Linked DNA regions of Canis lupus familiaris. Each later gene encodes a partner of the first gene's protein in a complex. Links are inferred from orthologs where the notes say so. Each region holds a gene or a part of one and is shown on either strand. Other genes may lie near its edges.

Region 1 (4,482 bases):
TGGATCCAGTGTGACACATAATGAAAGTGATCAATCCTAAATTCTAAACTTCAAATCCCAGTTCAGCAACAAAGATCAACTCCACCCTCACCACCCCACCCCCACACACACACAAGTTGTTGCAATTGATTACAAAAAGATTATACCATACAAAAAAATACTTACGTTTCGATGGAACTGTGTAAAGGACTGAATCATGTAGAATCGATGCATGTATACTATAGCAGTGTTGATAGTCAATTGTGAGCTAAAATCCTAAAGTTAAGGCTCCAAAACAGACAGCAGTACAACCCCCAAATATATAACCTCCCTATCCTCCCAAAAGGACCAAGCAAGACAAACATAGTATGTGCTTCCTTTTTTTGTTTTTTAAGATTTTATTTATTTATTCATGAGACGGGGGGGGGGGGGGGGGGGGGGCAGAGACACAGGCAAAGGGAGAAGCAGGCTCCATGCAAGGAGCCCGACGTTGGACTCCAGCCCGACGTAGGACTCGATCCGGGGTCTCCAGGATCAGGCCCTGGGCTGAAGGCGGCGCTAAACCGCCGAGCCACCCGGGCTGCCCCAGTATGTGCTTCTAAATGAAAATCATACTTAATTTTCCAAATTAAAGAGCAAATCTGTTTTCTTTCATCAATTATTAAACACCAATTGACACAATATAATGCCCTACACACAACCAGTTTTCAATATGTAAATCTGAATTGATAAGCAAGCTTCTTAACACGTGTGGATCAAGGAATATAAGAAAATTATGTAGACCTAAACCTGTCATTTGCCTCCTGAAAGTCCTGCAGTGGTGATCCATTAGCTCAGGGTATCTCTTCACATGACTTACAATGCCCTCCCTAATCCAGCTCCTAGGTATGTCTCCACTATATCCTCACTTTCTAAGGTCCAGAAATGAGCTTTTTCAGTCCCACTTGTCTGTGGAGACTAAGCCTTCCCATTCGGTGATCCCTGGGAACAGGAACACTGCGGAAAGATTTGATATACTCATTCACTAACAAGAAAAAATTTTAAATGTCTTACTTCTAAAAACCTCAGAAGAGAACGCGGGTTATCAGAAGAGGCCGTGGTCCCAAGATGTCAACAACCTTAATAACACACACAGAAAAAAGGGCTAGACATACTGAAACAATTTCAAACAAAAGCTCAACTCAGTACTAACCGGATGCTTAGGAAACAAACTGGATATCCACAATAAAGAGAACACTTCTTTTGAAGCGAGCAAACACTTTAAGACACAACAAACATTACAGCCAGCGACACACTTAAACAGAAGCTGCACTCAGAAATAATTCCCCACTTCCCGAGCGCAAAGAAGTTTATAACTACATAAGCTTTCTCTGCTAGGAAATGAGTATATTTTCTGACAAAAATACTTGAGGGGGGAAAAAAAAATCACTAAATTACTTGATCTTGGGCAGCCCGGGGTGGCTCAGCGGTTTAGCGCCGCCTTCGGCCCGGGGTGTGATCCTGGGGACCCGGGATCGAGTCCCGCATCGGGCTCCCTGCATGGAGCCTGCTTCTCCCTCTGCCTGTGTGTCTGCCTCTGTGTGTGTGTCTCATGAATAAATAAATAAAATCTTTAAAAATAAATTAATAACTTGATCTTTGGAATATTAAAAAAAAACAAATACACATTAGAACTGAGTACATTAAAAACTCCACATTCTGTAAATGGTCTTTTAAAACATTAGATCCCTGGGTCTATATCCTTACAAATAGAAACTGACATCCTTCCTTCCTCTGAAATTCTAAAACTTTAACAATAACTACCGTTTGAACACGAGTGCCACACATTTTGTTAGGCATTAAAAACTAGATGCAAGGGGGCAGGACTCCATTTTACAGACGAGAAAACCAAGAATTCGACAGGTTTCTTAAACAGTTCCTAAGCGGAAGGAACGGATTTTGAATCAAAGCTGGGGCGTTAGTTCTGGGCCACCCTCTGTCTTTCGAAGACTTTCCAGGTCTTGAATTTCTCAAACTCTCTTTACACACTAAAGTTCAAGAGGCGGCCATCCACAGCGAAACCTCCTCCAAACCCCTAGGGCATAGCGGGAAAGTAAAATCTCTTAAGTCACCAGACTAAGAGAACAGAACACAACGAAAGGAAACTACGAAGGGCTGGTTCAAATACAAAGCTGCGAAGGATACGAGTTCCCAGCAAGGCTGGTGGCCCTGGTGAGCGAGCGGGAAATTAACTCCGCCTCGCTTCTCGGGCGCAAACACTGACTTTCAGCCCGCCCCACCGTGGGCTCCTCCACCCAGACATTCAGCCCCCGTCCCCCCTCTTTCCTCTACCGTCTCTGACAGAGCCTGGAGCCCGGACGCCCGAGCAAGGCGGGTCTGACTCCAAGGCCGGAGGCCTAGGCCGCAAGGATACACGTTAAGACGTTGTCCCATGTCCTGGAGCAGATTGGCCGCCTGCTGGCGATAAGAAAGTTCTTTATCTGGGTCCAGGCCAAAACGACGGGATGGGCTATTTTCCAGCTGTTCTCGACTAAAATACCACCGTTTGTTGTTGTTCTTCCTCTCTCCCTCCATAGTGCTTCAACCAGAAGGCAGCGGCGGAGGCTGCAAGCACTTCCCAGCGTCACCTAAGCGGCGACACACATCCGCTGTGCGGGGGCAACTGCGACGTGACGAACTTCCGCTGAAAGGTGGCCGGCTGGGTTGTAACAGGCTTCCGCAAAAGAATGCTAGATAAAGGGGCTACTTCCGGAATGGGCCTCGCGACGGCCTGTAGCCGAGTTAACAGCCAGTAGGAGACCAGGAAAGACCTCGAGTCGAGGACGCAGGCGCCAGTCACGTGACCCTTAGAGGGTTGGGTGGGGTTAGAAGGTCTCGTTGGAAACCGCGTCTCCTCCCGCGAGAGCTGCGCTGAGTCGTCGCGTGGTGGACGAGGTGGCCAGGCAACTGTTGTGGCGGGAGGAGGCGCCCGCCCACGCGCCCCTCGGCGGTTCCTCGGAGAACTTCGTTTGTGACGGAGGTGGCGACGTAAAATGGGGGAGGATAGCGAGCTTGACAGAGGGAACAGGTGAGATTGTCCAAAACTGGACAGAGTAATCAAAGAGAGTGGCCCTACCGTATATATCGTAAGAGAAAGCAGGTAGAAAGCTCTTCGGTTCTTGGTAGCGGTGTAAACTTTGCGAAGGCGCTTTGCAGCATTATCTAGAGCTTTGAAAAGAATTGCCTGTGCTTCGCCATAGTGATACCACATAACGGAATGCAAATTTAATTAATAGTATTGATTTACGGATTCCCATGCTCCAGACACACTGTTTACTCTTAAATATACTATTTTCATTTAAAAGGCGGCCCAACCCCGGGGAACCTGGGTGGCTCCGGGGTTGAGCATCTGCCTTTAGCTCAGGTTGTGACCCCGGGGTCCCGGGATCGAGTCCTGCATGGGGCTCCCCGGAGGGAGCCTGCTTCTCCCTCTGTGTCTCTCATGAGTAAATAAATAAAAATCTAATAAATAAATAAATAGGCCCAAACCCCAAGAGGTAAATAAATAAAAATCTAATAAATAAATAAATAAATAAATAAATAAATAAATAGCAGGCCCAAACCCCAAGAGGTAAATAAATAAAAATCAAATCAAATAAATAAATAGCAGGCCCAAACCCCGAGAGGTAGTAGTACTATTTCAGTCCCTGTTCTGTGGACGAGTGAACTAAAACTGGCCCTTCGTTGTGGAAAGCTTCCACCTCCACCTTGCACACGTAAGAATTGTCCCCCGCCAAGAAACATCCCCGCTGAACGCCTAACGCGTGTTTGATCCTGGCCTAGATATCTTAACCTCTTTGTACCTCTTGTATAAATGTAAATGACAACAACAGTACCTACGTTTTAGGTTGAGAAGGATTAAATGAAGATGGAATTAGTTGAAAGGCTTTATTTTTTTAATATATTATTTATTTATTCATGAGAGACACAGAGAGAGAGAGAGGCAGAGACACAGGCAGAGGGAGAAGCAGGCCCCATGCAGGGAGCCCAACATGGGACTCGATCCCAGGACTCCAGGATCAGGCCCTGGGCTGAAAGCGGCGCTAAACCGCTGAGCCACTCGGGCTGCCCAGTTGAAAGGCTTTATAATAGTACTTGGCACATAGGAAATCTATTGACATTCAGTAGATGTCATCATAGTATTTGTTGTTATATGAAAAGTGAGTTGTATCCATAGCACCTACCTAGTACAGTCCCGGCCCTGGTAGTCAGTACATGTCACATAAATGCACCCTACAATGAAGAAATTTAGGGCTCGGGGAGATTAAGAAGTTTGCCCTACACTACACTGCTATGAAGTGTAGGTGTTTAAATCAAGTCTAATTCCATTGTTCTTTCCATTTTAACAGACTTCATTCTTGCGTTTCTGAAACCGTTTACTTTGATTAAATTGGGAGAGTATTAGAATTTTTTTATCTCTTATAATATTTTGAGTTTTGTCATTTTAGACATGCTGCTGCTGCT
Region 2 (4,102 bases), on another chromosome or scaffold:
TCACAGCGCTGTCACTCTGTGACCTTGGGCAAATGACCTCACCACTCTGAACCTCAATGCCCTCTTCTGTAAAATGGGCTAGTTAACCTGCCCATGGGGCGCCTGATTGAGGATTCAGCAGGATTCAGCAGGAATGCCCAGCGATTCCTGAACACACAGGAGTTCTGAGCAAATGCTAGCCATTTTTGTGATTACTGACCCGGGACTGACCCGCTCGGACGCAGCTGGGTGGGCATAGGGCTCCCGCGGGTCTCATCCCTTCCTCCCAGAAAATTGGGGGTCCAGGGCAGGAAGGCCCGGGCGTTGCTCGCTCGCCGTCTCCAGTGTCGCCGCGCCCCCTAGCGGCCGTCGGTTGCCATGTCAACGGCGGGCGGCTGGGGCCTGGGGAGGCGGCGGCGGGGGCCGTTCTCTCCTCCCAGGACCGGAGGCCGCTCCCTCGGCGCCTCCCGCCTTTCCCAGCGGAGGGGCACTCCGAGCCGGGGAGAGGGCTCTCCGCGGCAGCTAGCATGGGGGGGTAAACTGAGGCACGCGACAAAGCGCTCCGCAGCCAGGTGTCGAGCTCGGGGCCCCACCTCCGAAGGCGGAGGAGGGGCCGCGGGCGGTGACGCGCCGAGGGCGGCCGGCGGACAGCGGGCGGCGGCGGCGGCGGCGGCGGCGGCGGCGGCGGCGGCGGCGGCAGGTGCGGCCGCGGAGGGTGGGAGGGAGGAGGGAGGGGGGCGGGCGGAGGGGGAGGGGAGGGCGAGGCCAGGGCACCTCCCCCTTTATAACGCGCCCCCTCCCGGGCTCTCGGGCCACCTCCTCGTCGGCTCTTCCCATCTCGCCCCCTTGCCCGGCCGCCCCGGGCCCGGGCCCGGCCAGGGAGACCCCAGGCCGCGGCTCGGGGGCCACCCCCCCGCTCGCCGCCCCGCGCAGCCCGGCGGAGGCGGCGCCGTCGGAGGAGGAGGAGCAGGGCACTGCGGCTGGCCCCGGATCGGGCGCCAGAGCGGCAGCGGCTCCGGCAGCAGCGGCGGCCCGGGCCGATGCAGCGGGACGCACCGCCCCGAGCCCCAGCCCCGGCGCCCCGGCTCCCCGCGCCCCCGATCGGGGCAGCCGCCAACAGTGGCGGCGGCGGAGGCGGGGGCAGCGGCGGCGGCGGAGGCGCCTCTGCAGCTCCGGCTGCTCCTGGCCTCCCGGGAACTACAAGTCCCAGGGGGCCTGGCGGCGGGCGGCGGACGGAAGAGGCGGGGTCGGCGCCGCGAGGCCGGAAGTGGCCGTGGAGGCGGAAGTGGCGCGGCCGCGGAGGGGCCTGGAGCACGGCGGCGGGACCCGGAGCGGGAGCAGCGGCGGCGGCGGCGGCTGGGGGCGGCGGCGGCGGCGCGCTGGAGGCGGCCATGGCAAAGCAGTACGACTCGGTGGAGTGTCCCTTTTGTGATGAGGTGTCCAAATATGAGAAGCTCGCTAAGATCGGCCAAGGCACCTTCGGGTAAGGCTGCGCCCCCGGGGGACCAGGCGCTCTGGGCCTGCACCGCTCAAATCCGACGTCACGATGCCCAGGGCCGGGCCCGAGGTGGTCGGGAAGGCCATGAGCGCCAGACGTGTCCCCTGGTTTTGCTAGGCCGCGCTGCGGCCCGCCTGGGCCTGACCGAGCCGGCTGGCGGGGAGGAGCCTGAGGCCTGTGATGGGGGGCGGGGAGGGGTTACGGAGAGGAGCCAGTGGTGGGAGCGGGCTCTCCGAGAGACGCCTGAGTGAGGAGACTGAGGGGAGGAAGTAGAGGCTCGAAGCTCCGCAGATAGCGGGTGGCAAGGTAGGGCAGTGCCCTGGGTCCCCGGCCCAGCCCCGCCCGGGGAATCCCTTTTTTCTGCCCCCCTCCTCTGGTGGGGGAGGGGCGGGCCCTGCAGAAACGGCCTGATAAAACCTCTTGGGTCTCCCTCTCGGCCTGCAGGGAGGTATTTAAGGCAAAGCACCGTAAGACCGGCAAAAAGGTGGCTCTGAAGAAAGTGCTGATGGAGAACGAGAAGGAGGGGGTGAGTATGGGCCGGGTGGGCGGGCCTGCCAGCTCCCCTGGGCTCGGGGTTGGGTTTCCACCCTGCTTCTGCTAGGGCTCTCGTCTGGAGAACCTGTGTGTCTGTGTGTTGGGGGGGGGGGGGTAGTTAGGCAATTTCCGTATTCGGGGAATTTGGCTTCCAAATTGAATTTTTTAATTCAAATGTTTTAGAGCTTTTGATATCCCACTCTTAGGTAAATACGGTTGGGGCCAGGAGGGGGAGCTCATGCCTGCAGAGTGTGCCTTAGTTCCTGAAGTTAGGAAGCCTTTAAACACGGTTTCCTTAGCATTCATTTTGCATAAGGCGGAAAGAAATTCCACTTGGTGGTTTTAAGGGAGTGGCTGGTACTCAGTTGAAAAGGAGCAGTCCCCTCCCTTGCCTCATTGTAGCCCTAGTCCAGCTTCCCAGAGACCTGCTTAGCAAGGACATTTCCTTAAATAGCTGTTTGTTTCCACCTAGTAAGTTAAATACAGGTATAGAGCTAAAACTTAAATATTGAAGAAACTGTGGAACATTTATTTAGTGACGAGTAGTGAAGTGTGTAGGTATTAAGTCCCACTGTTTCAGTTCATTGTCTCAGAGCAACTCATTGAGGGGCACATACTATTTTTACACCCATTTTACAGCTAAGACATCTGAAATGATGTCAGAGCCCGGGACCTTACTCGTTTGCTGCACCTGTGCCCCTTGATCTGGACCACACGGTTGTTCATTGGTCTGTTCATTGGTCTATAGTTGACTCGCTCACCTCAGGCCCCCTCTTGCCTTTCTCCTACCCAGTTCCCCATTACGGCTTTGCGGGAAATCAAGATCCTCCAGCTTCTGAAACACGAGAATGTGGTCAACTTAATTGAGATCTGTCGAACCAAAGGTAGGTTCTTTGGCTCCTGCCCCCCTTTACAGATGGGGAAAATGAGGCTTACTGCCTAAGGCTTTGCAAAGTTGGAAGTGGACACACCTAAATTGCCTCTTCTTAACCCAGACAAACCGACTGTGACTGCTCTTGGGTCCTTCCATCGTAGCTGTTGCTCCTCGAGGGCCTGCCACAGCACCCAGCCCAGAGGAGGCACTCAGGAAATAGTTTTCCAGTGAAGGAAGGCACAGCCGAATATCCCAGTGTCCACGGGCTGGAGGGGTAGAAGCTGTGTGGGGAAATGAGTTGCACGTGGGGTTTTTTACTTTCTTTTTCTTACTCCTCCCCCATTCTTCCCTCCCAGCTTCCCCCTATAACCGCTGCAAAGGCAGTATATACCTAGTGTTTGACTTCTGCGAGCACGATCTTGCTGGGCTGCTGAGCAATGTCTTGGTCAAGTTCACACTGTCTGAGATCAAGAAGGTCATGCAGATGTTGCTCAACGGCCTCTACTATATCCACAGAAACAAGGTGGGGGTCAGCATGGGGTAAGAGAGACCCGGGCTGGGGTGGGCCTCGGCTCCCACCGCTGGGTGGGTGCGACTGAGGGTTCCCCTTGGAAACCTGATTGAGCCCTCTTGCGCTTCCTGCAGATCCTGCACAGGGACATGAAGGCAGCTAATGTGCTCATCACTCGCGATGGGGTTCTGAAGCTGGCCGACTTTGGGCTGGCCCGGGCCTTCAGCCTGGCCAAGAACAGCCAGCCCAATCGCTATACCAACCGTGTGGTGACGCTCTGGTACCGGCCTCCGGAGCTGTTGCTCGGTGAGGACTCCCGAGCGGGCGGAGTGGGGCAGGGGCTGGGCACTTACCCGGCCTCAGTCCCCCACTGCCAGGGCTTCTTGAGCCGCCGGCCCTGGGGCATTGCGTCTCAGGAGGCCCTCGGGCTCAAGGGGCCCTCCTGGTGCGCTCTTCTTCCCAGGGGAGCGGGACTACGGCCCCCCCATTGACCTGTGGGGTGCTGGGTGCATCATGGCCGAGATGTGGACCCGCAGCCCTATCATGCAGGGCAACACCGAGCAACACCAGCTTGCCCTCATCAGCCAGCTCTGTGGCTCCATCACCCCTGAGGTGCGTGGCCAGGCTGCCTGGGCCCCTGGTCCCCACAGGACGCAGAGATCCAGAAGTCCTCCTGGCAAGGGAGGAGTGGGGAGTGAAATAGCAG

What was found. Proteins that work in one complex are often made in the same cells at the same time.
Region 2: the proteins of CCNT1 (region 1) and CDK9 are in contact, whole or in part, in a crystal structure (PDB 3BLH), measured with the Homo sapiens proteins. The link is inferred for Canis lupus familiaris from reciprocal best matches to the Homo sapiens genes CCNT1 and CDK9. Residues at the interface, in NP_001231.2 of Homo sapiens: Arg5, Lys6, Arg11, Trp12, Arg26, Ile72, Gln73, Phe78, Phe89, Leu90, Lys93, Val94, Pro98, Lys99, Lys100, Leu101, Val134, Glu137, Ile139, Leu141, Gln142, Thr143, Gly145, Phe146, Glu147, Leu148, Thr149; in NP_001252.1 of Homo sapiens: Val8, Glu9, Cys10, Pro11, Phe12, Cys13, Lys56, Glu57, Gly58, Phe59, Ile61, Leu64, Ile67, Lys68, Gln71, Leu72, Leu81, Ile82, Glu83, Ile84, Arg86, Ile99.

What each region holds. Positions count from the first base shown.
Region 1 is NC_049248.1:40,858,518-40,862,999, forward strand, and holds the start of CCNT1 (cyclin-T1), read right to left. Parts: upstream 2,934-4,482; 5' UTR 2,554-2,933; coding exon 2,393-2,553; intron 248-2,392; coding exon 166-247; intron 1-165. UniProt on the Homo sapiens protein: Regulatory subunit of the cyclin-dependent kinase pair (CDK9/cyclin-T1) complex, also called positive transcription elongation factor B (P-TEFb), which facilitates the transition from abortive to productive elongation by phosphorylating the CTD (C-terminal domain) of the large subunit of RNA polymerase II (RNA Pol II).
Region 2 is NC_049230.1:55,704,457-55,708,558, reverse strand, and holds the start of CDK9 (cyclin-dependent kinase 9), read left to right. Parts: upstream 1-1,302; 5' UTR 1,303-1,370; coding exon 1,371-1,462; intron 1,463-1,921; coding exon 1,922-2,003; intron 2,004-2,804; coding exon 2,805-2,895; intron 2,896-3,241; coding exon 3,242-3,408; intron 3,409-3,530; coding exon 3,531-3,702; intron 3,703-3,859; coding exon 3,860-4,008; intron 4,009-4,102. UniProt on the Homo sapiens protein: Protein kinase involved in the regulation of transcription.